3 linked regions of the Drosophila melanogaster genome follow. Changing the gene in region 2 together with the main gene of any one other region gives a genetic interaction. Each region holds a gene or a part of one and is shown on either strand. Other genes may lie near its edges.

Region 1 (11,165 bases), on a different chromosome or scaffold from region 2:
GTGCTCTCATTCAGGGCATCGCTAAAAAATAATTACATATTTCTTATAGGCAAACACGAATGGTGGGAAAACGGAGAACTGTACCTGTGCAATTCCTCGTAGTCCGGCGGCGGATCATCCATACGTATGCGCTTTCCACCGCGACGCGCCATCATTTTATGTATTTGACTGTCTCACTGGTAAATATGGCTTCAAATCATTTAATTTTAAATTAAACAATAAAATTTGACCAAAGCGTCCGATTGATACAAGTGATGGAACCACAACCCACAATACAGTGCAAAAACAATCGAAAGACGCAATCGGAAACAAGGGATGCAATTAAGAAATAAGAGTGGCTTAAACTTAAAAGAAATAAAATACAGCTAAAATATTTAAATTAATTATTGTGGAATTTTCGTTAATTAATTAATAAATTAATTAAATAATTAATTCTTTTTTTTCATGTCCATAATTATATTCAGCCCTGGTATTCAGTGCATCCATATATCGATAACAACTGCTAGCCGAAAAGCAAGAAGAAGAACCAAAACAATATTTAGTTAACGAAGCATAAACAACTTAAAATCGTTGAATTATGACTGACTTTGGCGGAGACTCGGGTGGCCGACTAAAGGGCGTAACTATAGTAAAGCCCATAGTGTATGGAAACATTGCCAGATCCTTCGGCAAGAAGCGCGAGGAGGACGGACACACGCATCAGTGGAAAGTCTATTTGAAGCCCTATTTCAACGAGGACATGTCCATTTACGTGAAAAAGGTGCATTTCAAGCTGCACGAGAGCTACGCTAATCCGAACAGGATCGTAGTTAAGCCGCCCTACGAGATTACCGAGACCGGATGGGGTGAATTCGAGGTGATCATCAAGATATACTTCAACGATCAATCAGAGCGCCCGGTTACCTGCTACCACATCCTTAAGCTCTTCCAATCGCCTGTGGTCGATGGCGAGCTCTCCTCTAGCACCACTATGGACACTAAGAAGGGCCTGGTCTCGGAGTCGTATGAGGAAATAGTGTTCCAGGAGCCCACCCAGATCTTGCAGCATTATCTCCTGCTTTCAGAACAGAGCGCCAATGGGTTGCTAACCCATGACACTGACTGTAACTATGAGCTGATTACCATTTTGAATGTTTACTCATTAGATATATACTTTTCTAGTTGAGGAAAAGAAGACGAAAACGTTGGACAACATTGTGAATGTAAAACAGAAGGTCAAGGGGGAGATTGTTACACTTAAGGACAAACTAAAGCTGGCACGTGAGACCATTTCGAAGTTCAAGGCAGAATTGGCGAAGGTGCAGAAGCAACCTGCGTAAAATGTGCATAATTCTCTATAGAAATAATCTAAAAATTATTAATTAAATAAAATATTGGAAAATGTATTTTATTATTTTAACGGTGATATCCAATTCTTGGCTTCGGGTAACTAATTCAAATCTAACAAAACGGTTTAGGACATAATTTTATAGTATTGCAAATTATATCGATGGCTATTGATGTGGATCAGTGCAGTCTCTATAAACAGCTGAATTCATAATTCTATATAAATGTACAAAGAAACTACACTTCAAATTCATTGACTATGGTGCCATTGACTATATAACGTCGTAAATCTTACATGATTTGGTGTTTATTATTTTCTAAAAATATATGTAGCTTTTGTATAATATAAATTAATATTAATATTACTAAATATTTTTTTACTTAATTAAAATCAATTTAATAACGAGTGCTTTTGAGTAAGTTTCAATATGAACTGAATAAATGAATTTGATCTGATACCAGATAGATTCAGTCCACTGTACCGCGATGAACCGATGAATTCGGAATCACCGGTTCGCCGGTGAACGATGCAATGCATCTGAACCAGCGTCGCGGTTCGTTCTCCAGTTCCAGTTCCAGCATCCCCATGGAATAATAAATGCCATTGTTTATTTGACTTGTTGAGTGCATGTGCTTGTCCGGTGGCTTCGGGGCCCGATCGAAGCCCGAATTAAAGATACAATGATTTTATGGAGCTGCGTCGTTAACGTGTAATGTGCATAAATAATTTAGGCCCACGATTCCACGCACGCACACAGACACACATATGTATATAAGCCATAAGTGATGCGCGATAGCCGAGAGTGAAAATTATTAACTGCGCAAACGCAAACGCGTTTCCCCACCTAGAATCAGTCTAAAATCCCATAATAAGGTGAGTAATGCCATTAACTCTTAATCCTTTGAGTTCAAATATTCAATGATATTTTCGTGAAATTTTCAGTGCCCCCTCCAATGACGCTGCTCACATCCTCGCTGCTGCTCTTTTCGCTGCTGACGTCGCGGCTCGAAGCAATTCCGGTTTTGGAGAAGTCCCCCGCCCATCCTGCCCACTCTGCACATCCCGCACATCCCGCACATCCCGCACATCCCGCGCATCCATCGCCTGGCGTGCGAATTCTTCGCGCACCCGAATCTTTGGTGGCGCCCCTGGGAGACGAGGTGGTGCTGGAGTGCGAGACCAGTTTGCAGCCAGAGCGCTTCGAATGGAGCCACCGGTCCAGCAGATCTCCGGGAGCGGGGTTCAAGTACCTTAAGACAGGCACGGCCAAAGCGAATGTCTCCCAGGAGGCGGCCATCTCGCGACTGAGGGTGCTCGTCCGACCAGACACTCTAGGCGAGTACCGATGCGTTGGCTGGTTCGGTCCGCTGGTGGTCACGTCTACCATTGCTCGATTGGAGCTGGCCAGCACTAGCCTGGTGGACGCTCAGGAATCGGAATCACCCCTCCAATGGCGGGTGTCTGCTGGAAACTCTGTGCTCTGGTCCTGCGGACAACAGGTGCAATCGAATCCATCTGCCAGTTGGTCCTACTATCGAAACGGAGTGGAAATCAAACCGGAGTTCATCGGAACCAATGGAAATCTTTTTCTAAGCAATGTATCCTCCGAGTCGTCAGGCAGCTATTCCTGCCAGGCAACCAATCCTGCCTCTGGCGAGAGAATTCAGCTGCCCGGCTCGCTGCAACTACAGGTTACACCAGAGCAGAGGTCGGAGAGTAAATCTCCACACTTGCTCAGGGGACAGCCGAGCTCCCAAGAAATTACCATACGCGAAGGGAGTTCGCTGTTGCTGCTGTGTCCTGGAGTTGGCTCACCGCCACCGACGGTTGTCTGGAGCAGTCCCGATGTCGTGGGAGCTGTTAAGAACAAGCGTTCGAAAGTATTTGGACACGCTTTGGAGATATCCAACACCCGAGTTAATGATGCTGGCACCTATATTTGCTTTCAAGATAATGGAGTGCGGCCTGCGTTAGAACACTACATAAAAGTGCATGTCGAGCAGCCGCCTCAGATTGTGCGACCACCCTGGGCCGATCTTACCAACGAGGGCGATCGTTTGAAGTTGGAGTGTAAGGCCACAGGAGTGCCAACGCCAGAGATCTACTGGCTGCTGAACGGTCACAGCAGCATCGATGATTCTGAGGCTGAGCTCTCCAATAATTTCCTGATATTGCACAGCGTCTTGAAGCGTCATGCGGGCTATGTCCAATGCTTTGCACGAAACAGACTTGGTGAGCACAGTGCGGGTACACTGCTGCAGGTGAATCCCAAGCAGATTCAGGAACCCCGGGAATCGGGGGGTACACACAGGCCCAAGCCCAATCAGGGTTCCAGGCAGAAGCAGATGTATCCACCGACTCCTCCAAATGTAACCCGACTTAGCGATGAATCCGTAATGTTGCGCTGGATGGTGCCCCGAAACGATGGGTTACCAATTGTCATTTTTAAGGTTCAGTACCGCATGGTTGGCAAGCGCAAGAACTGGCAGACAACCAACGATAATATACCGTATGGAAAACCGAAGTGGAACTCCGAGCTGGGCAAGAGCTTCACGGCTTCGGTGACGGACCTGAAGCCTCAGCACACCTATCGTTTCCGCATCCTAGCCGTTTACTCCAACAATGACAATAAGGAAAGTAATACCTCGGCGAAATTTTACCTGCAGCCAGGTGCAGCACTTGATCCGATGCCGGTGCCAGAGCTTCTGGAGATCGAGGAATACTCTGAAACCGCTGTGGTGCTGCACTGGAGTCTAGCCAGCGATGCGGATGAACACCTGATCACTGGCTACTACGCCTACTATCGACCCTCGTCCTCGGCAGGGGAATATTTCAAGGCAACCATTGAAGGAGCCCATGCTAGAAGCTTTAAAATAGCACCCCTCGAGACGGCCACCATGTACGAGTTCAAGTTGCAGTCCTTCAGTGCCGCCTCTGCATCCGAATTTAGTGCCCTTAAGCAGGGGCGCACCCAACGTCCCAAAACCAGCACCACAGAGGAGCCAACACTGCAAATGGGCGACCGCGATACAACAACTCCCAGTCATAACGAGACATTCAATATGAGTCCCATGCTGACGGGAACAATCGGCGGCGGGGCAGTGCTCATTCTGCTTCTGATTAGCACCTGTTTCTGTGTTTGCCGGCGTAGGAATTCCAGAAGCCGGGGAAACAATCCAAACAAGCCACGGATGGCGGAGCTGAGAGATGACTTTGTGCCGCTGGGCAACTGCTCGCCCACCAAGCAGCGCCAGCGAACACGACACATCCACATAACCTTGAATCCACTCGCCCAGCAGCAGCAGCAGGCGCTGGAGGAGAAGAATGACACAGACCAGGATGCGCCCTATTATCAGCGGCCGTCGAGCTATGACTACGATCCCACGCTGCGCAGGATGTCCTCCTCCTCGCTGCGTCGCTCACAACGCACGCTGGAACGTGCTGGCGGCAGCAATGGCTCCAACAACGGCAACAACAACAATCTAAATCAATCCGCAGAGGCGGGTTCCATCGAAAATCCCGGCAAGCCGGGTCGTGTACTCATGAAACGCCCCCGTCTGTCCAGTCGCTCCGAGAACCTCTCCTCCGGCAGCCTCAACAGCGTTGGCGTGTAATCGCAATCTCGTGATCTTTAGTCTGTGCATCCCTACGCCCGATGTACCATGCTATTCCTCTACCTCTGTTTTATCTACCACTTTGAATGACAAAACCTTTGCTGTTTGTACTTAAATAGGTACTTAAATAGACATAACTAGATTTATGTATGCATGATCGTTTAAGAACATAGCATTATGTCCATTCTACGCTAAGTCTTCCATTTTTCGCGATAAGATCAAAATCTGTACTGATAGCTTCTTAATGACCTATACAAAAATGACAATAAAGCTTGTAGCTTCACCTTTTAACCTTAAAAGAGTTTTTTAACATAAACATAAAGGATTTAGCCAAAAAAATGACATCTCAAGCTAAAAGTTAAAAAACAAAATTATAATTTAAATCTTTGGTATATTTGCGGTATATCAAGTGTTGAAACAGTATTTTTTCGCATTCAATGAGTGGCGTTAGGGATTTGTGCAACATCCGATGGCGTTTGGGATTTAATAAGCTGTCAGCCAATAATTGGGTCGTCGTCAAAATTTCTATTAAAATCGTTTCTATTCCTACATATTTTGGCCGGAAAATCAAATGAAGCTGTTACGCTAGGGACGAAGCTGCACCTTACCCGCACCGAACGTAAGACACTGCTCGTAGGCCCCAGAAAGTGCACAAATTTAAGCGGTTCCCTTTGTTTTCGCAGTGCCAGCAGCAGAGGGCCTGGCCCCCGAAAACAATACAAATCCAAAAATCGCAACTGGACTGAATTGGGCAGGATGTCGAACCTATCCGTGGGCCAGATTATAATGGATGCGCAGCGCATGGCCAGTCGGGTGAAGGACCTGGACGCCCTGGGCACGGCGCTGCTCGAGGAGGCGGAGAACAACAATCGGCTGGTGGAGAGCCTTCGCCAGTATCAGGACGACATTGAATCACTCAACCGCATTTCGAACAACAAGACCAACGCGGACATGGTGAATCGCATTCAGCAGCAAAACATCAACAGCTCGGAGATACTCAAAGAGAATCGCGAGCTAAAGATCTTCATTGAGGACTACGAGCGTGCCATGGAGCTGATGATGCAAAAGTATCGCGAGCACACCGTCTCCAAGGTCCTGGATAGCAAGTTTAGCTTTAAGGAGCTGTACAACGAACGCATGTGGCAGGTGATCCGGGAGCAGCGCGAGAAGATCAACGAAATGGCAGCAGTGATGCAGCTAGCTGCAAGTGTAGATGACGGTGTCGTGCAGCGAGAGCTGCAGACCATATCCCAGCTGCGTCTGGAGAACGAAACGCTGCGCGAGCTGCTGCAAATCTCCAAGCAGTACGGCTCCTCGCAGCGACCGATTCGTGAGAGCGACCACCTGCTGGAGGAGAAGGCTGTGCAAACGGACAGTACGGCGGACGACTCCGCCGACGATCTGTCCATATCGGGCGCCTCGGTGGAAAACATGAACAACAACTCGGTTATCCAGATGTACAGCAGTCCGGAGCAACCGGCTAAAGTCGCCGGCACCACGAACTCATTTAACACTGCACCAGTGCATAGTCAAAGTGAAACACAAGCACCAAGTGTGACATTGGAGACGGCGCCGCCGGGGGAAGAGCCGCTGGCGAATGATAACAATAACGGACCTGCAGTCAACACAACCAGTGCACCGCCGCCAGCGACGACGTCTAACGAATCTGTCGAGGATCAGGCGACAGTAGCGCCCGCAACATGATAGGTGCTGCTGTGCAACGTTGTTGATTCGTTTGGTCTTCATTTGAATCGTATTTACTCACCCACTCACAAAACAGGCCGCGCACGAAGAGGGCCCACATAACCTGCATTAGCTCTTAGCGATTGATAATCTCTAAGTAATTTATACATAATACGAATTTCAACATATTGTCCATACGCATTGAGAACAATGAAGTTTATTATTTAAAACGAGGTAAACACACTCACACCCACACAAATGTAATGTACAATGTACCCTGTCGATTTTATGGTTTGCTAAATAAATTCCAATACAAATCGGGGAATAACCAAAGGAATGAGCATATTTAATTTAACATACAAATGTATTTCAGTAGTGTATTTAAATAAGATGTAACTTTGCTTTAGATTGCTACTCCGTAAGCTAACTAATTCTTAAGTTATTTCCCAAAAGATGTTACGAGTAGAATCCCATCTATTATGCGCCCCTCCCATGAATTTGAATATTTTTGTTAGAAGGCTTTTTAAATTTGGCCATTCTAAATCCCAGCCAAACAGAGAAGCGGTTAAATAATTCATTGGATATGACTCATTGCTTATCGAGTAAGGCTGATCAGAACTTGATATACACACATACTTGTGTGGAGTTTAAATATGAATAAAGTATAGCCACTAAAATTAACATTTGCCACAATGGTTATCAATGGTTATCGAGCAGAAGATTTATGATATAGTCATGTTAATTTTCAAAAAGTCAACTTATTACACAATGAACCAAGTTGAACAGAATCTGCCATGAGAAAAAAAAACAGCAGTAATAACTATAATTTTAGAAGCTTAAGATTCCAAAGGCAAAATATTGGGGTTTAAAAAATTTTAAATAATTTCATTATTGTATTGTTTAAGTTTAATTTGGTTATTAATCAATATGGAAAATTAGGAAAACCAATTTTTTGAATAGATATTATTGAAGTAATTATTATTATTATTAGTTACAGTGTTTTTTTTCTTTAATTCTATCAAATACATTTTTGTAATTTTGATAAATATGGAACCTGAAGTGTAAAAGTAATATTATATGGATACCCGTAAAGATTTATGGCTGAAACTTTCAATTGGCTTGGACTTGAATATTTTTGAATAATTTTCGAATCGCTCTCATCGATTCTCTGCGCCAAAATATCGGTTCTCTTGAGGAAAACACTTTTCTCGCACGACTGGTAGGTAGTTGAAGCTTTCAGAAATAATTTAAATTTAGTTTCTCGTCGATTTTCAACGCGTTCGCAGCCGAAAAAAAAGTGCCAAGGAACTGCGCCCGGTTCGCATGGCAGCCATCTATATAAGTATTTCGAGTGCTCGGGCAATCGACGGTTATATTAAAGCTATATAAATATATAGGCACATACGTGCTTGGCCTTTGTACATGAATGTGAATCGGGTGAAAAATTGAAAACTGCCTGGATCGCATGGTTGATATAAAGATATATCCCTCTAATAATAAGCTATTGATCCAAATCTAACGATATTTCCGGAGAGTCTTGCATTTGAAAATCGTCTGGGTAGATTTATGGGAAGTGCGCTGCCATTTAGCAAGAAGAAAACTATGCTATTTATAAAACACAGCCAATTTCTGTGGCCGTAAATGTTTTGTATAAAGTGAATATTCCAAAATTAAATCAACCAAGCAGCAACCGAGTGTTTGTGTGTGTGTGATCGAAAGTGAACGAAAGGCTTTGGGGATTCCAATCCCTGTAAGAATCTACATATGTACACCAATGCTCCAAACTGCTGTATAATCCGTGTCGAAACGCACTGAATCCCGACGGTTACGCAACCATCAACATCCACATCCACTTCCACATCCAAGAGGCTGGCCCCATTCCCCGTCGTCCAGCCGCAAATTATTCTAAATGCGGAAGTATTTCGTGTAAGTCCACTGCGTTCTAAATTAAGTCACACATTTTGCAAGTGCCAGCGCCGACGAAAAACAGAGCGCCTTAGATGAAAATAGGTTAAAACGCTGGTAATTATTTATAAACGCACTAGGGATTTGCAATCATCGCAGCAGCAGAGCGCACAGAGAAAGGAGTGGTGAAAGCTCCGCGCTTTCTCTTCGCCTTTCTCTTCGCATCGCGCTCTTTCGTTTGAGTTTCGCCATTTTCGCCAAAAGAACAAAAAACATGCGCAAGCGGCGGAAAATCGCCTGCGCAACTAGCTTCCACCTGTGCCAGCTTATCTCGCTCTCTTTCTACTCATAGATCGCTCTAAAAATACTCAAATAGATGGATACATATTTGTTATTGTTTATATTTACCATTTCCATTCGATTGTTTATGCCTGACTGAAGTGACAGATATGAAGGATGATTTGAAATTGAATTAGAAAAGTCAAAGTTTAAGGATGTGAAGCTTTTGTTGTTAGGAGTTTTTTCTTCAATCATAGTACTAGTAACTAGTAAGTTACTTATCATTTTTTAAGTATTCTTAGCAATGGTTACATTTAAATCCAGATTTTAAACATTTTTATAATTATAGTTAAAGTTAATATTTGTATATGTGTATCAATGCGAATATAAGAATGCATATTATCACCTCTTTTTAAAAATAGAATAAATTCCAAGATATACATACATATGTATGTTAAATCGACTTGCTGATTTCCTTTTTTTAGTAAGTTAATTTTTAAATCAGTTTCATTTTTTGTTTCTCAGAGTTAATATATCTGTCTTCCAATGAGGGATAGTTAATTAATCGAAGGCATTGATCTACATCTGCACTTCCAACTCACGTTGACAATAGCCATCAAACCAGGCAGCTATTCAATTTAGAACCAATGGCCAAGTGAATGATAACGAAATGTAAATGTTTAAGTATTTGATGAACGTGTACAAAATTCTTTTGTCGATTTGGCTTAGTGCCAGAAATTCCACAGACTTGCGCAGTCAATTGGGTATTGGGATCGTGCGAAAAGTACATAGAAATAGCAAATGTAAATTTAAAAGATTTTAAACAAAAAGAAAAAAATAAATAAATAAAACCAGTAGTGAGATGTTACGCATACCGTGTTAATTATAAAATAAAGCGTTGGCTTGAGAGGACTTCACACTTCAACTCTTGCAGAAAAAGAAAAGCTGATAAGTTGTACGAGAACAGATGCATCATCTGTACCCATCGCTGAAAGGCGACCAGTTGTGCCCACTCGGCTTTCATCCCCAGACTCGGTATCCCACGCGATGTAAGCGCTGCTTCCGGGATTACAAGGAGCATGGAGCCCGCAGAGCCGGCGAAGAGGTGGCCGCCTCCTCGCCCAATCTCTCCGATGCCCAGAGTTCTCGGTAAGATCTTCCCGGGATTTCCACCTTTGAACATACATAATACTTTATTTTATAGACCCTCTTCGCGGACGTGGACGTCAACTCAAAATCTTACCAGTGCAAACGCAACTAATGGCAATGATATAGGTATGAATGCCACTCGCAACGGTTAAGAAATCTATAAACTTTATGATTAAAATAAAGACGATCACTTTTGTTTATTGTTAATCAGCGCTAGAAGCTAACTTAACTTTGTAGCTGAGTGTGTTCTCGCAAAAAATCATAGTAATGGTATCGAGAACGTGGAATAAATGGAATATTTATATGCATTATAAGCTTAATCTATTTAATAGTATTTGTTAAGTTGTTGATTATAATGTTTGTGTAGAATTCAAATAGTTTCAGTACCCTTGTCAATCGGTTATTGTTTTAAGTATTAAAATTGTTTATGTTTAATACATGTATTAATTAAAAAAACGATTTCTCAATGCAACTAGTAAACTAGAAAAATTTGTCCAAACTCTTAATTTCACTGTTTTATACTTTCATAAACCTGCTAGAAACATAACAATATATGTAGTTTTTGAAATAATTTGGTTCTTAAAGTATTTTTACCATTGAGAAATTGTTCCTCTGACATTTAGTTATAGTAAGTTGCTTAAAAAATTGTTACGAATCTTAATCAATGTGTTTGTCTACTTATCTCTCTCACTCTCACTCTGCGTGTGCACAAAAAACCACCGCCAACTGTGTCATCTCTATTGCTCTGTGTCTGTCTCTGTCTCGCTCTCTCTTACTTTCTCTCAACACTAATCTCTGCATTAAATGAACCGTTAATGTTAACTACTACCATGCCACGCGTGATCTGTACTGCGCTCCCACGCTCTCTCTCTCGCTCGTTCTGTGGCATCCGTTTGTCTCACTCTCGCACCCACGGCTCCGAGTGGAATCGAACGCTAATTGCAAACTGCAACTCGCAACTTGCACCTGCATGCAACACACCTGACGCCCTTACTGAGCCTAGTTGTCCACTTCAATGTAGAGCTGAGGAAGCGTCCGCAGTCATGGGCCTCCACGCCGGATATCGACGAGCCGGACAATGTGGCTCGCCGCCCGCCGGCTACGGCATCCACCAGTCGAGCAGCATCCTCCGCCGAGGATCAGGATGTGGCTGTCACTGTAAAGCTGCCGGTTCCACCGCGACGCCATACCACCGCCTTGGACATCAA
Region 2 (10,139 bases):
TTTGTCAAAATTAGTTTCCATTTTATTATCAGCACCTTATAGAAGGAGATAGAGGAGGCGCTGACGGGTTTCCGGTAGCTTTTGGTCAATAAAACCCACAAATTTATGACCTCTGAACAACGCTCCAAGCCGTTGTGGTAAAATATTTTATATACAAAATTAATTTTCGAATTTTTGTGGGTATTTTTTTACGGCCGTTTAATGTGTTTTATGCCTGGAGGTCTGGGGCATAATGAAATTGTCAACAAATTTAATGGCATGACGCAGTATGAGAAGGGGCAGATTACACAGTCTGCATTCTTCCTCTGCACAATGGCAATCTCCTTGAGTTGATCCAGGGTAATCTGCCCTCCATACACAAAGCACATTCATCTCTGCACTTGAGCTCAAGACGAATAAACAGAAACTGGACCAAAACTAATTGAATACCATTATTTGCCAGATTAGGACAACGCATAACAAATGGGCAAGGTTAGGCGGAGATTTGCATGGCGAACCCTTAACGAACTGTACGAAATGGATGCCAGGCCGGTTGGCCAGGCAATTGCATTTTATTGTAATAGCCAAACACTAAAAGGAGATCAGAGCTGCTGGGAAACGACCTTTTGACGATGAAGTCCATGTCTGGGCCTGCGGATAAGAGCCCTCATCGGACCTCGGTCCCGGCTCTTTAATGAACTTTTAGGCACGCACGTAGACGACCGGCATTAATTACAGACTCACTGCGAATCGGTTGCGAGAGTTGGAGTTTGGGTTCGCATCTTGATTTTCCGAGGGGCCAGCCAGACATTCTCCGGCGTAGCCTCCATTCGCCGGGACCGTGTTATCTGCAAACGCGCCATCAAAGTAGGTGGCACAAATTAACAAATCTTTCATGTGACCCAATTAAATCAACTCGAACCCAGCAACCGGCGGCTTTGCGTTCTCCTGAGCTCTTGGCCCCGGCAATTTGGCATTCGTCATGCTCGCCAGGCAATGAAAATAACCGAAGGCACTCGCCGATGCCTGGATTCTGGATACACGTTAAGAAATATAATCATGATGTGTCTAGGAAGTCATAATAAACACACAAATAAACATCCTGCATATATGCTTTTGGGCACTACCGTTTTTTTCAGTGTTGTGTTCCATGGGAAGCTTGAAATCTGTTTTGAGGGGAAACCAAGGATCGTCTGAGACCAACTGGTGGTTGATGAGGGAGTCGGTGCATCAAAATGGGTAATGAGGAGCTCCAAAGAAGAGGCCAATGGTTTGCCACAGAGAACTAATTCAAGGTTTACTTTTCTGGATCATGTGCAGGCGGATCTGACTCAATGCAAATTTTTCAAGTTCTTTCGATTCATAAAGATTCGTATTTAGTTAAGTATTAGTTTCATGAAAGTAAAAATATTATATCATTCTTCTTGGAGCATGGGACATTTTACGAATTTAAAAATAAAGTACTTTTAAAGCCTGGAAATGCTAAAAATAAGTTTTCTTTCACCACGATGTTATTCTTTTTAAAAGTTTTCCCAAGAAAAGTGTTTCCACTCATTTAATTACCGTCTGGCTTCATTTTCTACTTATTCTTAGTTAAGATATCTTAACAAAGTTTTCAAGAACCGCCCACTGCTTTAGCTCCACTCTACTTTTCTCTCGTCTCTGTACTCTACTAAAATCTTTTGCAAACTTCGCTTTCTTGGCATTCCTAGATTGGAGAGCCGGTAGAGAAGAGTCTTAACCCACAACATGCTCATTATGTAAATGCTGCCTGCCTCCTCCCAACTGCCACTCCCCCTTTTCTGCCGTTTCTTCTCCTGCACTTTGCCTACTATTATTATCTAGAGTCGGCATTTATAACTTTGTTGTAGTTGTGAGTTTGTTTCGCTTGTTTGTTTGCACGATTTAATGCTTCATTTGCTTGAGACTCAAAAGTGGGTGAAGCTAAAAAGGTTTGAGATTTGCGGGAGGGTCGTTGGAGGTACAGAGTTTCCCAGTGAAGTACCAAACAAGGTAGTGGAGTCTCCGTCTCAGCTTCATCTGCGGCTCTTAGCTGGTTAACTACTTAATTATCTTTTTGGTCAAATGGAGCCGCCAAATGGTTGAGACCCTGTCCCTCCATCTTCCTATCCTCTGGCTTATTAATAAACATGTTAAATGTAATTGTTATTCGGCGCTACCATTTTAGAGGCGTGGCTAATTGCTGGGCTTTAAGTTATGTAATTACCCAACCATCTACTGCGTAATCTTTGGTACAGAAATGAAAATCAGAGCGTGAGAAAAGGTAACAAGATTTTTAAAATAACTATCACCAAATATGTGGTCCATTCCTTGCCCATATTAAAATATTGTATGCCATGTTAATTTTCAAAGCTGAAATAGCTTTTGCTATATGGTATTACACCATCTTCTTAGGACCAAAAATGAAAATCAGACCGTGAGAATGAGTAACCACATTTCCGAAATATCTTTGGCATAGGGGATATCCTTGAAAGGCATTTTCCTGGTCTTTACACAGAGGTGTTGGGGTAAAGTTGGTCCAGAGAAACCACGAAAATAAATTTACAACAAAATGCCAGTTCTATCTATCTCTTTTTAGCCCTGCTTAGGCATCTCTTTCTTTCTTTGGCTGCACTCCCGAAAAAGGCATTTCAACGATGGCCATATATGAAAGTCATTGCTTCAACTGTTCCGATGGAATGAAGGCACGAAATGGACTCGGAATGCATCGAGAACTTGTTTAAGGAGTTGAGACCGCGAAAGAGACAGCCAACGGAGATGGGAAAGAGACAGCAACTGAGGTGAGACCACACAGGCAAAATGTTATCTCGCTCCATAAAGTGGCCACGTTTGACCTGCTCGAGATGACTGGGAATGTTGGAAGTCTGGCCGAGAGTCTGGGATTCTCTTCTCTACCTATTTTTGGTATCCTCCACCGACACTTGCCGGCAATTAAGTCGTTGGCCCAGCCACGATCGTTCACTCCGCCCCGGTTTCGTTTTCATTTTATCCCTTACTCGAATCCAACTTGAATCATCCGCGATCCACAGGATTCATTCTTAGAAAATTTGCTGACGATTCTTTTGGCTTTTGTTGTCACAGCAGTGGCTGCCGGCTGGGAGATCCCATTTCTGTCAGCATCGTCAGCTAATTACGCGAAATTGCCCAGATCTCCGATCTTTAGTGCGAGATATCTCAGCAAGTGTTGACTTTGTGGGCAAAATGTCTGGAATCCCAGCACCGATCACTGGATCAGATAGCACCAGCTGGTTTTTGAGATCGCCAAGCAATTGAGATGATCTCTCGATGGCTAAGAGTAGCCCCTAGGAACTGAGTAATTGTAATGGCATATTAGGGGGCGAGATCGCGTGAAAGAGTTTGCTATCGATCATGATCGCGTTTTTTAAGTGGTGCCTCTTGGCAAGCTTTCGGTTTACCAGATGTTAGGTGATCTAGTTTAGTGGGTTGTCAGTGGCGCTCAAACTTTGTGATCGCTCGTTAATGCTTGTTTGCTAATCATATTAAAAAAGCTTCATAAGTTTTAGATTTTATATACCCAAAGCCAAGTTCCAATATGCGAAAAGCCCCCGTGATAAACGCACCATTTATCCCCTCAATGACCTCATAAACAAACACCAGACAGCAACTCCTACTCGTTTATATACCCCGCCCTATCTAATCTGCATTCCAATCGAAACCCGAACCCAAACCTCCTCCATACAATGGTCAACAATTGCAGAAGTATATATCAGATGATCACACGCCGACGACGCCGATGAAGATGATGATGATATAGTGCCATATAAACCGCTCGCTTAGTTTCTTCCTTTTACACGGCCAAGGAATGCGACAGTGCAAAAAAATACAAAAAAAAAAATTAAAGAAAAGGGCCCAAAGAGCGAGTAAGAGAGAAACAGAGAGAACAAGATGGGGCCATTCAGTTTTGGTTGCTGGAAAATGATTAATAGTCATGCGGTGGTTGCCTTGAAGCAGGCGGGATGAGGGGGCGGTCAGGGGCAGTCGGCGGATGCAGTGCAGCCAGTGGAGACGCCATCGAAGTGGAGCAACCGTACACGGAAATAAAGTTAATGAAGATTCGGTGATTCGTATATTATGCACATTAAAGTGATGTTAGAATAGTTAATTGTATTCCCAAAATTATTGAGGGGCCTAAAATGAAAAATGTACAGTTAACAATATATTCAAATTTTTTAAATCAAACTATAAATATGTTTTTTTTTCAGTGAGTGAAAGCACTGCTGCTGTGCGCAGTAAACTAAAATCAGCTCTGTTGCAAATTTCTTTTGGCATAAGGCAGACAAAGATGGATAATGGATGGGAGAGAGATGCAGAATAGGAGGAAGCAAGGTGATCGTTTCTGTGTGGGAAATTTGTTGGTTGGCTCGAAAGAGTATTCAATACCTTACAGAAGGGTTGTACCAAGGATTTGGTAGTATTATTTAAGAAAATTAAGAATCTTGATGATAAAATTTCAAATTTTTGTAGAAGAAAATGCCTTTTACGTTCACTTTATTAAACAAACTATAGAATAAGTATTGAAACTATCGATAACTTTTTATGAAAATCACAATTTAAGGGTATTTTAAGTTGCGATCTACAAAGCCAATCTTCCCTCTGCATCGAGTCTCTCTTGCCCGCTCCTCTGATATTATTTTTAACGATTTAATGTTTTGCGAACTGTTTAAATTGTGCAAACAATTTCAGCTAAGTGCCTGCCTACCACTGATGATGATGGCGAGCCGGGGACGATGGTCAAGGGGGTTGGGGTTAAAGTGGGTTCGCACAGCTTTTTGATGTGGCACAGGAAGTGCAGCTTTAATGAAGCGTTTAAGTGGCAGCTGTAGTTGTTGTTTGCCATGGTTGTTGTTTGTGCAGCACGGAAGGTGTCATGCAGTTGTTGTTGCCCAATGTTTGTTGCTCTTCATGGTTCAATGGAAAGGAATGCGCCTGAAGTGTGAAGATGAGAGCGCTGGGAAATTGGCCAAAAACACTTAGACGTGACTGTTCAAAATTTTACCTTAAATATATGTACGAAATTTTTGCTTGGCAAATATGGTCTTGGGTTTTTACAGCATTTACAGTATTTAAATGACATAATTATATATTAAAATCAAACTATCTAACTAGCTACTTTATATATATATTCAACGAAGACCAACCTTAGTCAATTTGAAGAACTTCCCTACGACAATATGTTGGCCCCAAAAAGTCTACGTTTCATAAACTAGTTCACCTATCGCAAATGGAAGTTTAGCTTTATCAGACGCACAGCCTCACCAGTTAGCTGGCCTACAAAACCACGAAACTCCATCCAGAAGACCCTATAAACACCTATCGCAAAAGTAGTTCCCAGTTAAGCAATTCGAGAAGGCATGGGAAAAGAACAGGTCGGAAACTTTATCTAAATGCTGGCGCTTATCAGGCGGACAAGGCGCGAAGGGTGGGGGTCAGGTGAATGGAAAGGGAATGGAAAGAAGCGAACGAGAAGAGAGGACGCAACACAAGAATTTATGACTCACACGGTGGAAAGAGAAGCTGTGCACTGGGAAAAATTAAATGTAAAGAATAATGGCATTTTAGCTTAGCATAAATTTAAGAAATCTGTTATTAAAATTTGTCCTATTATAAATAATTTTCCATTTAAATATTTAATTGTTTTATTGTTTGAAAAGCACTGAATAACAATCACATGAACATGAATAAAATGTTAATACGTCAACATAAATTGAATTATTTATTGATTGCAATCCTACTGGACCAGAAAAACTTATTAAAATATTATTTACGGATTAGCTTTAATAATTCGAGTGCATTCGTTTTTTGATGGCCAAGGGACGGGGGTTCGAGTTGATCGGGAAGTAAAAGGTTCACATAAAAATGCCGACAGAGAATAAAAATCCTGAACTGCATAATTTAAACGATTTCAATGACACCTTGATTAATATCAAAGACAACACAAAAGGGAACTCGAGAACTGACCACTCTACCTGTTGGCCCCTCATCGCCCCCCTCCCCCACAGACATTTCCATGAAATTATGAACGAAACGCAACGCAACGCGCAATGCATTTGACCAAAAGATAAAAAATAAGGAAAACATATCGGGAGGGAAAAAAAACCAATCAGGCAACGTTGAAAACCAAAAATAAACAAAGGCAGGGCGCAGGTAGAGGACTAAAGGAGGGGCAGGGGTATGGACTGGAACAGGGGTATGGGGTGGGGCAAAAGGGCAGAGGCTGCAACAGTTTACCTGGCAACAAATCAAACAAAGAGAGACAGAGAGAGAGGGAGAGAAACTGAAGGCGACGAAGAGAGGGCAGCGCAACTTATTGCAATTAAGCGTGATTAATTCAGGATTTATACAAATTAAGTAAAACCCACAGGCGATCGAGGTCGAGGCTAGGTCTACCCCTCTCCACCCCTTATACCCCATTAAACTATGTGTAAAAGCGGTGTGACAACATTTTTGCTCTTGCACTAGGTAAAGAGCCTGTAAATGGGTTCCACAGTCCAATATCTTTAAAAGATTCGTAAACTTTGTAAAACATGGCATCTCAAAATAGAAATAATTAAGAAATCCTTAACAGTTTTAAATAACTCTTATAGCATATCCCATAAACATATAAAAGGTAATTCACGCAGTTCACGCCAACGATGCTCTACTGTATGCCCGCGCTCTTCTCATTTTATTTCCTTTTTTTGTTCATCAAAAAGGAATTTCTTGAGATTTTTCGCTGCGGCTGCTCCTGCCTATTGGACTGGTCTTGGAAACTGGAACCCTTTGCCCCCACTGGGTAGGAATGGACCGGGGGCAGAAATGGGGGCTGCGATGAGCAGGCGACGCATGCGCCAAGATCTCTGGGATGGACACGCTCTCCGCGACGGACTCTCTCTTATTTAGAGCCTGTCTTGTGCTGCTGCTTATTCGCATTTCGAGTTGATTTGCCTGGAATTTTATTTCCTTCAGGGGGCGGAGGGAGTGGAGGGAGCTCTGCAGGCGCGTTGAAGGAACAGAATGAATCACGGAATCGTCCAATTTATACACGAGTTCTCTTTGTTCCTTTGCGAATCAAACTTGTTTCTTATCTCCGGCAATTTACTATTGTTATGAAATATACGGATTCTTTTTCGGGTAATACCAATATTAGTTGCTTTGAGTTTTTAATTCCATTGGATAAATAATATGGTCTTTAAGCTTATTAAATAACTTTATTAAAGATTATAGTCCATTTTTCCATACTAACCATACTTTTCCATACTACATATATCAATGTAAGTATACATTTTAAAAGATCTGATTGCCACGATATGGATTTTCTTATCTTTTTTGCATTAAGAATGGCACTACCTCAACCATTTCGCACTTTAAACATCGCTACAAATTAAAATTTGTACTATTTGAATGACACCATATGGGAAGGCAATAAGTTATAATAAGCCTACTAAAGTACCAGAGTTCTTGAAAATATCTTTAAGTTTTTTTTTTAATATCCTTCACTTAAAGCGTATTTCAAAATTAAAAAAAAATTTTTATGATCTGAACATTTCACCCACAAGAAGTAATTATAACTTTGTTTAAAATTTAAATATTTACAATAATAAATATTTCTCGACAGGTATTTATTAAGCCATTGGTATATAATATCGGACATACCGTTACTGGGTTTTTGGGGAATTTCGATGGCATCGATTCCTCTCGCTTGGAAAATGTGTGTCACAGCACTGCAATTCGGACTGAATTGATCGATGATCGAAGACCCTGCTACGCCACCCGCCGGATTGGGGGCGGCAAGGGCGGCCACTTGGGGGGCGGGGCCATTGTCCGCTTGTAAGGTGGGCGGCAAGTGGGTGGTGAGTAGTAATAGTAGAAGAGGACTGCTGAATATCACAAGGCGGGCAGTTGTTGTTGCTGTAGCTTTTCTTCTGCAATGCAGATGTTGTTGTTGTTGCTGCTGATGTAGCATTTTGATAACTCTTTCTTTATTTTAAGGGGAAAGAGAGAGCGAGAGACAGGGCTAATTTCACCGGCGTTTGTTGTCGTTTAGTTTCGATTGGGATTCAAATCGTTTTGACTGTGTTTGTTCTTTTTGCGGTAAATAATTTTGGCAAACGCAGGCACCCACACTGAAATACGCACACTAATACACCGCTTTGTTTGCCGGCATTATTATTATTATGAAACTTATTTTTGTCGTTTGCGTTTATCAGTGCGCATTTTGCGTTCAGAAGCAATTGAAGTGCAACATGGTTGTCGGGTGTTATTAAATCGGGATTATTAACAATTAACAAATAGCGGCACACGCACTGCACATAGACGCACTCGCTCCAACACACACGCACCCGCGACGACGAAAGGCGAATTGAAAGCAAAGCGCGCAACGCAGGAAGAAGCAGCACAGCGCGTGCTCGCGAGTCGGCTATAAAATTTTGACTGAGAAGTCTCTTTGAATTTCGACTGCTTACCGTCGATTCTTTTCAGCCTGCGCTTATCGATTGGTGACCGCGGCTATCGATGTCTATCGCCTTACACCGTTTTTAGGTATGTACAGTGTCACTAGGCTATGAGAATTCCATTCTGGGAAACGTTTGTTAGAAAGTTGTGAAATTTAAAAATAAAATAACGAAAGTTTTACAAGAAATAGATTGGTCCTGTTAATACATACATACATATAAATTATTATACATATACAATTATACATACCATAAATTTTTTTTGTTTGCAAACACACGACTGTATATTTATTAATTGGTTGGTAAGCTAAATGGTTTTTGAATAATTTAATCACAAAAAGTAAAACTTCCATGTCGCGCTTATAGGCGAGATGAATGCCTATTTAATCACATTTAAAATATTTTGTGTACAAAACAAATAGTGTGGACATCTAAATTTATTCGAAATATGTGACATCGATAAAGGAAGGTCCACACTATCGAAAGCCACTATCTAGCCGCATTGTTCATCTCTAAACCAGCTGTTTTGGCGGCAACCAGTTTTGGTCTGAAGCAAAACAATGTTTATTTAAATAAAACGCAATTTAAATAACAGCCCAAGTATGGCGCATGAAAGCGCTGTGCACGAGGCGCTGAAAAAGCATTTTGGCCACTCGAAATTCAAATCGGATCTACAGGAAAAAGCCGTGAAGTGCGCTGTTAAAAGTGAATATTGGCCAAATTCTTACCCAATCTCGCAGATAATACCTCTCGTAATTCTCTTACAGAAAAGCAGGATGTGTATGTGTCGATGCCCACGGGCTCGGGTAAATCCCTGTGCTTCCAATTGCCTGGTTTGATGTCAGAGAATCAAATAACCATTGTTTTTTCTCCGCTTTTGGCTTTGATTAAAGATCAGATAGATCATTTAACCAAACTGAAAGTGCCGGCGGATTCTTTGAACTCCAAGATGAGCACCAAAGAAAGGGATCGTGTTATAATGGACTTAAAGGCCGTGAGAACCAACCTGAAGTTTCTCTACATAACCCCGGAACAGGCCGCCACCAAGTTTTTTCAAGACCTGCTGCAAACCCTCCATAAACACAATAAGCTTGCCTACTTTGCAGTCGACGAGGCGCATTGTGTTAGCCAATGGGGACATGACTTTCGACCGGACTATCTAAAGCTGGGGGAGCTGCGTTCCAAATATTCCGACGTCATCTGGTTGGCTTTGACTGCCACAGCTTCAAGGGAAGTCAAGGAGGATATATATAAGCAGTTGCGCCTCCACCAACCCGTGGCTCAATTTAGCACTCCTAGCTTCAGGAAAAACCTCTTCTATGACATTGTTTACAAGAATTCTATCGAAGATGACTTTCAGCACCTGGCAGATTTCGCCAGACACTGCTTGGGCAATCCGAAGGAGTTTAAGGATACACCCAAGCCACAAAGAGGCTGCGGAATCGTATATTGCCGGACTCGAGACCAAGTGGAGCGCATGGCGATAGGGGTAACTAAACAGGGAATCGGAGCAGTAGCCTATCACGCTGGTCTGAAAACAGGAGAACGTACTGAAGTCCAGGAAGCGTGGATGCGGGGTGATCAGCCCATTATATGTGCAACCAATAGTTTTGGAATGGGTGTGGACAAACCAAGTGTGCGCTTCGTTATCCACTGGGATGTACCCCAAAATGTGGCTGCTTATTATCA
Region 3 (10,419 bases), on a different chromosome or scaffold from region 2:
CTGCCGTTGCCACCATTCAGGTTAATGCAGTCTTTATTCATTTCATATTTCTAAGCGCATTATGTGCTGCGAGCCACGCTCACAATATTAGCAAAAATTATGTTAATCCCTTCGGGCTGGCTGGGTAATGCTTACTGCCCCGTCCTTGCGGCCTTTAGCCAGCAAACGGAGGCGCGTTAAATTATTTTAATAGCCGCTTACAATTACCAGGGCCAACCCTCTCGGTTCAGGGTAATGTTTTTAATGTTTGACGCGATTTGCTGGCTTTTCACTGGCGTTTTTAAACGCGCCTTGCGGCCAGACATGCGGCTAAGTCGTAAAATAGGACTACAAACCGATGGTGCACGATAAGTTAATGGTGCGTCTAGCAGAGCAAAGCTAAAAATAAATACAATTTACTATGCTATGGCTTTGAATTTAGTTATTTTGATGAAAAATATACGATTTAAGAAGTACATAGGATTTAATTTCTTAGACATATGGTCTAGCCGAAAAAACTAATATTAAGCATGCCCTATTTGAATGTCCCACCGCCGACCTGCGTCCGTCCAGCTTCCTATCTCTAATAGTTTCTAAAACTTTTCAATAAAACTTAATTCACTACTCAATTAACCCAAGATAGTGCGAGCTCGTCACCCATTGTCCTTATCAGTTTTCAGAGGGACAAAGAATAATTGAAATTGATGCCCCAGTGCATGTGTTAATTTGCACTTGCCTCACTATTATAGTGACATGCATAACCAACTGCTCCATTGGGCGTTCAATTTTCCATTCATAGAGCGAAGACAGTGAGTATGCAAATGCAAATTGAGGCGTTTAAAAACGCTTGCAAATCGCGCACCGCAATTAAACGGCGCCCCAAACGCGTGCCCCATGGTACACGCCTCCCGGCCGATTTTATGGCTGTATTTAATGCGAGCCATGTTTGACGGGGTATCAGCCCATATAGGCATAGTTTGCGGCTGGCTAATGACTCTGCGTGGGGATGGGGATGGGGAATCGCATGAATCGTCGGGGAATGGGGATGCAAATGGGAAATGTCGGAGACGCCTTTTCCACTCATTAAGTGGTGTTGGTCAACCAGTTCCGAGGACAGCATGATGGATTGCCGGCCAGCTGAATAATTCAGCCACCAATCGCTCATTCAGCTGGGCATTCATTCATTCATCCATTCGGTCGGCCCGTTGACGTATCGTATCGAGCGGACCAAAACCGAAAACTAAAACCGAATCCCAAACCTGATTGCGGTAAAAGGCCAAATTGGATCGTTCTCGTTGCCTGGTCGGTGCCTTGGGGCCAGCGTTAGTCATCGTCATCATCATCATCATGAGCCTTAGCCGCCTTATGCCGCTCCCGCTGAATTGACCGAATTAAAGCTCTGGGATTGCGTGGAGCGGGCAAACCAGTTCCTGGCCGCCACACTCCAGCTCGGACTGCAACTCTAAAAAGACCAGGAGAAATTGCCACAGTCAAAACAATTAGACAGACGGGCCAGACTCGTGTCTTCAACTTGTTGCCGCGGCGGATAAAAGTTGGTGTCTTATGCTGGGAAAAGTAAAAAGTGTCTAATTAAATGCTTGTCCAGACTGGCTTTGGAAAATACAAGGTACTTCAATGCAAACAAATCTGTACGAAACTGAAATACCCTTAAGACATACTATTAAATTTAAATTTTTTAAGCTTGTAGCGCATTTTTCAAGCTTTCGAAATGAATTCCCTGAAACTATGGGACACCATTTTTTGCAGAATTGCAGAGATATTATTTCTTCTATATAAACAAAAAATTATCTTATCTGTTGATGTTGCGACTTAATCATATCATCTAGCAAACAAATCTTTTGTTTTACTTCGAATTGCCAGTTAAGGCAAAAAGTTGTCTTGCTATTGGGTATCTGGTATTATTTAAAAATTCCCACAATTAGTCAGCAATCGGTAAATTTTAAGGGTGGTTTCGTTATACGCATTAAATTAAATTTCCTCCAAGCGATTAGTGAATGGACCCGGTCCAAAAGGCAAGGCACAACAGGCAAACAACAATTAACATAAATTGCTTACGCGATGCGGCCCATTGAGTGCCGGCAACAAGGGGTTAAGGGGTCACAGTTGCCGCCCGTCAATCATTCGGTCAAACGAACAGCGGCACTTGAATGGTCGAGCGAAAAGGGTTTCCCATTTCCACGGCTGCCAGTTGCCAGTTGCCAGTTTCCAGTTGCGGTTCGCTCCAGCGGAAACTTCAGAATGCACCTGTCGCAAGGCGGCGGTAGGTGTGATAAGCATCTCATCACAACAAAAGATTAACACGCCGGGGAGGACAAAGAGCAGAGCCCGGTCATATGGGCAGGTCTCCGATTAGAGACGCACAAGGGATTCAAACGAGCTGCCTGCACACATATGCACTGCTACAAATAACTAGCAAGAAATGTATGGAACCCTAGATACAATGTATACTCATAATACAATTAAACTGGATTCTAAAAATTGCTGCTGAATATGGATGCTTATTTTACACACATAATTGTATATTGATGCTAGGTGTTCCTACAGACAGCTCAAGTTTTCTCACAGTGGTTGCTTAGATGAACAGGAAACCGACGGGGAGGAGACCTTGAAGACCCTACGCAGGTTGTATTGCAAGCAGTTAGTTAGGTAGTAGGTAGCCACAAGGCAACACCTCTGGCTTGACAGATCGAGTTACCAAAGAAGCACCCTACTCCTAAGTGGGTCACATTACCAATGTCAAACGATCGAAGCCAAGCCTTACTTTCACTCAGGAATATTGAGGAAGTGCTGTTGAACAGTCGGTAGAACAAAGACCAAACAAGTTGGGATGCCTGATGAGGACCACAAACGACTAGTATCGCATGATTTGCTTGGATCAGTCGATCTTCCCCCCGTAAAACTAATTTCAAGTTATGATCAATAAAAAAACCTTTTAAGTTTCAAGCGAGAACAATGACTCCTAGGGGGAATTCGCTGATGCTGCGCTTTCAATAGCCAACTTTAATGATCTCAGCAGTTCCGTGGGCATGCAAAACATCCATAAAATGCACTTCTTACCTCAGGCTATATCTAAATATATATATATATCTGTTTAAACTTCCAGTAGTTGTAGTTTTAACACACTATTGCGATTGTGATCATGAGCGCTGTCTACCGATTATTTGGACACTTCAGCTTCTATTTATAGTTCGCGTCGTGCCGAGCGGCTTCGAATTAGGTGATAAACCCGGTAATTGGTTGTACAATCGCGATCGATTAATAGCTTCCTCAGTCCCACTGACTATCCCCAGATGGGTAGTACCGTCCGATCCGGTAGAGTTCAATAAAACTGGAGCCGAACAAGGCGGAGATAAGCTGGATACACCGCCACAAAACACAATTCATAAACGAAGGGCCGGCTATCTGGGCCGATATCTTCTCCTTCAGCTGTCGAAAGACTGCCCACGAAATTGCACTTTCCGAATTATTTGTTATTCATTATTACGTGGGTTAGCAATTTTGACATGCAATTCGTACTTTCAACAGGGTTTCTACGGGTTTTCCGAACTTTTGGCGCACTTTTCTCGTGTCAGATGGTTGGTTTAGAAATTCTACGCTACTTTTATTTTACAGCGCGCGTTAGCTTAGTACGTAAATATAAATTAAAATCCGTATGCGACCAGTTCGTTCCGTTCGAAATTATAAAAAACAACAAACACAGAGCAGTTCCCACGCGCGTCCGAACAGCTGGTGAATATTTTTTGAAAAACCCAACAACAAAATGCGCGTGTTGCTTATATAGTTTGTTTGCCAGTGTGGCCGTGCTGCAAAGTGACCAAAAATCGTTTTTCGCACAGAGAAATCTGGTATTTTGCGTTAAAACAATACGGTCATCATTGCCCTAATAACAGTCCTCTGTAAAAATCCATAAGCGGGAAGTTTAAAATTGATTCGGAATGCAAAGGTTGTGAAATCCAGAACAGAAGTCTTTCCTGCAGATAATACAAGCAAACTTAATTTGTAATCTTCATAAGTACAGGAACATCCCATAAACACAAATACCTGCTACACGAGTCTAGCAGTCTAATTTTAAGCTCATAATCTCAGCAAGATAAATTGCTAAAAGTATTTGATTGCACCCATCTTATAATGTTGTATTAAAAGCATGACATTTTTCTTAATTTTTATGAATATTTATTGTAAATGTGTATTTCATTTCAAAAATATGTTAGAACTATGGCTTATATGTTGATCGATAAGCAAGGAGAACGAGAGAACTGTTCTGTTCCAAAATTGCTGTGGTATTACTTTTTATTAGGTTAACGAAAGTTCATGCAAATGATGCGGGTGTGGGCTATAGTCGGGGCCTATGAATTTTCGCCCTTCTATTCAAAAAAAATGAAAAACAAAACGCACACGCGACAATCGCCACATTTCAGAGGCAACAATATCAATGGAGACGAAAGATTTGGGTAAAGAGTATATAAATTATAAACTAAATAACGCAAATTAAAAGTTAAATTTGATGTGGCAATCTAACATACCACAGAGAGGCGAGACAGAGGGAGACCGGAACGCATCGGATCGGACCAGACCAAGAACCACTATCCACTATCCAGCGTTGGGCGCAAGTCAACGTTGGATGATGCACAGCAAATCCGTGAAATGACAACGACAGGGGCGCGAAGGCCACGAAATACGCGGTTCCCTGGGTGAGCTAGTTTCTGAAGTGCGATCCAAAGAAGGCGACAACAAAGCGTGTGAGCCTGTCCAAGCGAATCCTAATCCCGACCGTTAGGCAGATGCCGAAGAAGGGGCGAGGCTCGAAGAGATGCGGCCGAGTCCGAAACTGTATGATTTAGTCCTGTCCAAGGGCAACGCAAGTGTTCCTCACCGTCAACGATGCCATCGACATTCTCCTCCTCCAAACATCCGTTAACCTGAACACGACCAAAGTTCACACATAAAATCCTTCAACAATGCGAAATTCCTGTCTCCTCCTCCTCCGAGGTGCGAGTTAGCCATGGGACACTGCATCCCACGTTGTCCTAGCGAAGGGCTCAGAACAATCCTAAATCCAAATCCAATCCTGATTACAATCAAATAAATATTTTCATATTTATAAGATCTATAGACAGGTCCTGCCTCCACTAAATTCAATCCAAATTTATCCAATCCACGCCAAAATCAACATCAAAATATCCTCCTCCACATCCATTAATCCTCATCCTCCACATCCTCATCACTCTCCAAACATAAACGCGCAAAATGGGGAAGAGAAGAAAATAAAAATTAAAGTATTAATAGTTTGCTTATCAATGTGGTTGACATTGCGTTGTGTTCGGATTTCTGTTTCTTTTCTTTATCTCATTACAAACATATTTATTCTGTATCGATGTTTCTTGTTTTCGTTAAGGTAGATTCTAATAAATTAGCTTGGAAAACGTGCAGCCAAAATAAGAGTTATAATATAATATGTAGGAAGCAGACTGAGCAAAGGCTCAAAAGATAATCAAAAGCAAATCAAGGAATGCCGAGTGCTTTTGGCCAAAGAGAATTCCTTGGTTTACAGTTGTCATTTTAGAACTGTTTTTGTCAAATTTTGCCCGGTGGATTATAACTTAAGAGAACATTTCTGCTTCTTAGAACGTGTGATAAGTTGGAAAAGCAAGTGTTTTTCTTTTTTAAGTATGTTGGCTTCGGTGAGAGTTCGGAACTTGACTGAACAAACTTGATTGGTCGTTGATTTCATTTTACAAATCAATTTACAATTGGGGTATTTGAGGGGTCTTGAACAAATATTGATTGGTATTTCCTAATATAGCTTGCTTTTCCTGTTTCCTGCTCATTAAAATATTATAGATTAATGGATAATGCTTGGTTGTGTTTAATAGTTAGAACGTGAGCGAGACCTGGAATAAGATTGACGTCGCACTGGGGAGTATGTGGGAGTGCCACGACGGCGCGGCCTCGACGAGAATGAGCGCGAACGGGATCTGTGGAGGGATTCATAGAATAAATATTGAAAAATGAACTGTGGTAATATTTGGTTTACCTGTCGCGGTAGTCACGGCTTCCACCTCCGCCGCTGCCGCCACCACCTCCACCGCTGCCGCCACCACCACCGCCTCTGTCGTTATCACCGCTATCCTCGCGTACGCGAATGTAGGCAACCTCGCCCTAAAGACAATAAAAATATTAATATCATTTGAATAATGTCGCCAAACTATTTTTCAAAATGTAAACAGGAATGTGAACTAGATGTTTATCAAATTGACACATTTAAGGGCGTAAGTGTAAGCATCTACACCAATATAACTTAATGTTATTCCTGAAATCATATTTAATTATTCCAGCCTGTGAATAATGTATGCTGACAAAATAAATGCAAAAGTAAATTCTCTACCTTGAAACCCGAATACATTTGAATTTTACAAAGTTGGAACTGGACAATTTACATACCTCATGCGATCGGAAGCGAGAGTCGTCCAATTTTTTGATTGCGTACTTCATGTCCTCGTGGCGCAGGAACTCAACGACGCCGGAACCATCCTTGTAAGTGTCCGCGAAGCAGACGTCGCCGGCCTCGCGCATGTGATCCTTGAGATCTTGCCACGATCCGGAGGCGGGCAGTCCAGTAACCATGACGCGGTACTGCGAGCGCTTGGCTGGCGGTCCGCGTCCGCCCATCCGTCCCCCACCGTCGCGGCTTCGGTCATTGCGGTTGCCGCCGCGGTAGCTTCCAGGACCACCGCCCCGCGGGAACTCCACGCGCAGACGATACCCATCGTAGTCGTAGCCGTCGCGCGCCTTCACCGCATCGTCGGCATCCCTAAATTGGGCCAAGAGGCAGCCGGAGGATATGGACCATGGTCAAGGAAGGAAGAGAAGCAGTTGTCGCGAATTAGTTGGGTGTCTTAGCCGGGGCGCTGGGCCAGCTGTGTGTATTCGCATTACTCACCGCGCATCTTCGAACTCAACAAAAGCAAATGGCGGCCCACGCCGATTTTTCAGATCGACGAAAGTTACTTTGCCGAACTTGTGGAACAGGTCCTGGATATCCTTGGTGCGTATATCTGGGGGAAGGTTGCCCACATATATACGGCACTCGTTGCGTGATCCCATTTTCTCCAGTTTAAATCAGACGCTTCGATCTATTTCGATTTTCAGAGAACTTATTTTTGTCACGCTCACAATGACAAATGGCCGACGCAGTATGACCGTTAGTTCGAGTTGGGTAAATCCCTTGGGTGCACAGTAGTTATCGATAATTATAACGTTGATACGAAACTATAGGTGGAAGTTTCGTTGCTTATATCGATAGCTACCCTGTAAGTACTTACTTCGCTTAGTTGGGAATTAGAATGAATAAGTTATTAGAATGAAATAAATTAAGAAGTTTGTGGAATTTCCTCGGTTAAAGGTTATAAGGCAGGGTAAACATAATGTCGTTCCTTTCATTTATATTATAATTTACCGATAGTTATTGCCAATCACGCCGAGCTGCAATGTATTCGCGCAGTGTCACCACTAAGCGTCGTTCAGTCGAAGAAAAGACAACAAATATTTGCATGTGCAATACACTAAACATAAATAGCATTTCGAAAACCACTGAGCCACCGGAAAAATGGCTGCGGCCGGAAGCAACGTTCGCTGCATTAACTACTACGACCTGTGTCGCATCTGCACGGACAGCAGCGATCACAAGACGAACATCTACTCACCCGAGGGACGCGCCAAGAATCTGAGCCAAAAGATACTCGAGTGTCTCTCACTGCAGGTCGTGCTAGTGCATCAATCTCCCATTACTTTTGGCTAACAAACCCATACTTCTTGCAGATCGATGAAAAGGATCGCTTGCCCAAAGTGGTGTGCGCCCAGTGTGTGCAGTTGGTGGAGCAAATCCACGGACTTCGCGCCACTTGCCGTAACTCACAGACCATGCTAAACAACTGTCTCAATATTCGCCCGGCGCCAAGCAGCGACAAGCTATACATTCGGGATGCGGTCGATGAAACTGGGAAGAGCCTCAGTGTGGCGCAGTCAGCTCCACCAGTTCCTAATGGAGCTCAGCAGTCCGGAAATCTCTTGAACAGCATAATCCAGGCGGTAAACATGCAGCCCCAGCAGCAGTACACCATAACGATGGACAACGGGGTACAGCAGCAGCAGCAGCAGCATCAAGCTATGCCGGAAGTTCAAATAAAAAGCGAAAGACAGACGTGAGTGGGAATTCACTTTCATGAAAATCATCTCAATAACATTCTATCCACTTAGTGCTTTGGAAGAGTTTATACGCCTCAAGCCTGACATCAAGATAACGCCGCTGGGGAAAAAGGAGCCCATATCGCCTGCCAAGCCCCAGCAGCAACATTCTCTGCAGTCCCAGACAGTAACGCCTACCATAAACCCTACTCAGTTGCAGTTACAACCGCAGCTAGGCGATCAACTGCAGCCTTTGTGGCAGCAGATTCAACAACTTCAGCTTCAGCAACAACTACAGCAACTGACCAACCAGCTGCAGGCTACCACACAGTACTCCGTCGCTCAGGATGATACGTCAAGTTCTGGCGACAGTAAAAAGCCAAAGTTGAACTTTGTGCTCTCTTCGCCTACAGCGCCCCAGTTCACCACTTCAATGCCGCAATTCGGTGGCAGTCAGCCGCAAATACAGCTGCAGTTGATGCCAGGTAGCGGAGGAGTGACAAGTGCAGGGACAGTTCCTGCCCAGACGCAGCTAAATGCTGCTGCCCTGCTCTCCAGCCTGGCGGGTCCGCAGTCGACAACCAACCTGCTGTCACCAAACAAGTGCTTTCTGCCTATCACCATTCGGGACGAGAATTCGGATCAGCAGATCGTGGCGCACATAGACACCAAGAACCTAGTGTTGCCCACGACATACCAAGTACAGATGAAACTTCAGCCTCAGCTGGCCACTGCGGATGGCCAGCCAATCATGCAGCTGACACCAACATCAATTCCGGCTACTCTGCAACTGACACCGCAAACATTGGGCAATCCAGGAAGCGCCTTCCAGGGCACTACGGTGACGCAAAATCAATTTCTGGCGCCGCAACAACCGCTTACCCAACTTCCAAATACGGCACAAGTGACCTCTCAGCAAATTATTAGATCTCCACATACCAGCACCACCAATTCGCAGTTGGTGATACGGAATGTGACCAATATTCCACCGACTCCCACCACGCCCACTAGCAGCAAGAAAGCCCCCACTTTTAAAACGCCTTCTCCAAAGCAAAAACCGATGCCATCGCCAAAGAGCAAAACTACTGTGGGGCCGTCCTCAGGTGGAAGCAATGGCACGTCCACCAACGAGTTCAAGCGATTGATAACCCAGACAAAGCCACAACCGCAGGTGAAGCAACAGCAGACCGCAGGACTCTCTGCGTCAGGCGCCCCGACAGCGACATCAGCAAATCAAGCAGCCATGCAGCGGCTCTCCTCGAATACAACGATCACCAAGGTGCCCAAGCAGCCTGCTTCTTTGCCGGCACCAGCTCCCACATCTAATCCCGCCAAACTGCCCATGCTGAACAAACAGAATATCACAATCAGTCGAATCTCAATGCAGACAGCGCCAAAGGCGCAAAGTAAGCCCTCTACTACATCCCCAACTCCTGCTTCACAGCCGATTCCTGTGTCCGTTCCCGCCCTAAGCCAAGCACAACCACCTCCGCTGGCGGCGCAGCATAAAAAGATCGTACGCAAGCCTCCTGAGAACCAGGACACTTCAGGGCAGAAAGTTAAAGCAGCGCGACCGCCGCAGCAGATCCTTCCTTCTCCACAGCAGGAAGGACAGAACGCGACCCATTCTGGGAGCGAAGCGCCCACAACTTCTGGCCTCATATGCCCCACCTGTAAGCGTGAATTTAAAAAGAAAGAACACCTCACCCAACACGTTAAGCTGCACGCGGGCCTGCGACCCTTTAAGTGTTCGGAAGAGGGTTGCGACAAGACCTTCAGCCGCAAAGAGCACCTGTCCCGGCACTTAGTATCCCATTCTGGACAAAAGATGTACACGTGCGAGGTGTGCAAAAAGCCCTTCTCGCGAAAGGATAACCTGAATAAGCATAGGCGGTCAGCATTTATATACATCTAGTTAAATTCAACAGAGATTCATAAATATCCTTTCTTTCAGAATTCACACGCAGACATCAACCGAAACCTTATACTGTTGCGATGTTTGCAACAAAAACTTTGCCACCAAGTTGCACTACGAGAAGCATCGGGAGATGCATAAGAAAATTCGACCGGAAAGCGCGGCTCCGGGTGCAACTGCATCGCCTGCAGCAGCACCTGCGCTAACTCACGTTCGAAGCAATGGTCAGGTGCCCAATAAGGTGAGTCCGTAATACCATTCATATTTTAAAAGTGCTAATCCGACCTCTCATCGCATCCAAGGCGGTTTTCGAAATCAAA

What was found.
Region 1: of dlp (region 2) and ihog, changing one enhances a phenotype caused by changing the other (phenotypic enhancement), as found in Drosophila melanogaster (one study listed by BioGRID).
Region 3: of dlp (region 2) and Sulf1, changing one enhances a phenotype caused by changing the other (phenotypic enhancement), as found in Drosophila melanogaster (one study listed by BioGRID).

What each region holds. Positions count from the first base shown.
Region 1 is NT_033779.5:6,939,529-6,950,693, reverse strand, and holds ihog (interference hedgehog), read left to right. Parts: upstream 1-1,885; 5' UTR 1,886-2,200; intron 2,201-2,269; 5' UTR 2,270-2,280; coding exon 2,281-4,941; 3' UTR 4,942-5,230; downstream 5,231-11,165. Other genes in the region: SA1 (stromalin 1), read right to left, coding at 1-21, 85-155; Gas41, read left to right, coding at 578-1,103, 1,162-1,319; Fgop2 (fibroblast growth factor receptor 1 oncogene partner 2), read left to right, coding at 5,698-6,645; CG18304 (uncharacterized protein), read left to right, coding at 9,776-9,957, 10,013-10,083, 10,961-11,165. UniProt on the Drosophila melanogaster protein: Mediates response to the active Hedgehog (Hh) protein signal in embryos, functioning upstream or at the level of patched (ptc).
Region 2 is NT_037436.4:14,630,897-14,641,035, reverse strand, and holds the start of dlp (dally-like), read right to left. Parts: upstream 8,436-10,139; 5' UTR 7,964-8,435; coding exon 7,654-7,963; intron 1-7,653. Other genes in the region: RecQ5 helicase, read left to right, coding at 9,053-9,155, 9,218-10,139.
Region 3 is NT_033777.3:16,334,788-16,345,206, forward strand, and holds the start of Sulf1 (sulfated), read right to left. Parts: upstream 4,789-10,419; 5' UTR 4,524-4,788; exon of another isoform or gene 4,156-4,523; intron 3,757-4,155; exon of another isoform or gene 3,058-3,756; intron 1-3,057. Other genes in the region: SF2 (splicing factor 2), read right to left, coding at 5,867-5,975, 6,035-6,159, 6,442-6,811, 6,941-7,104; pad (poils au dos), read left to right, coding at 7,607-7,759, 7,819-8,201, 8,257-10,077, 10,139-10,340, 10,402-10,419.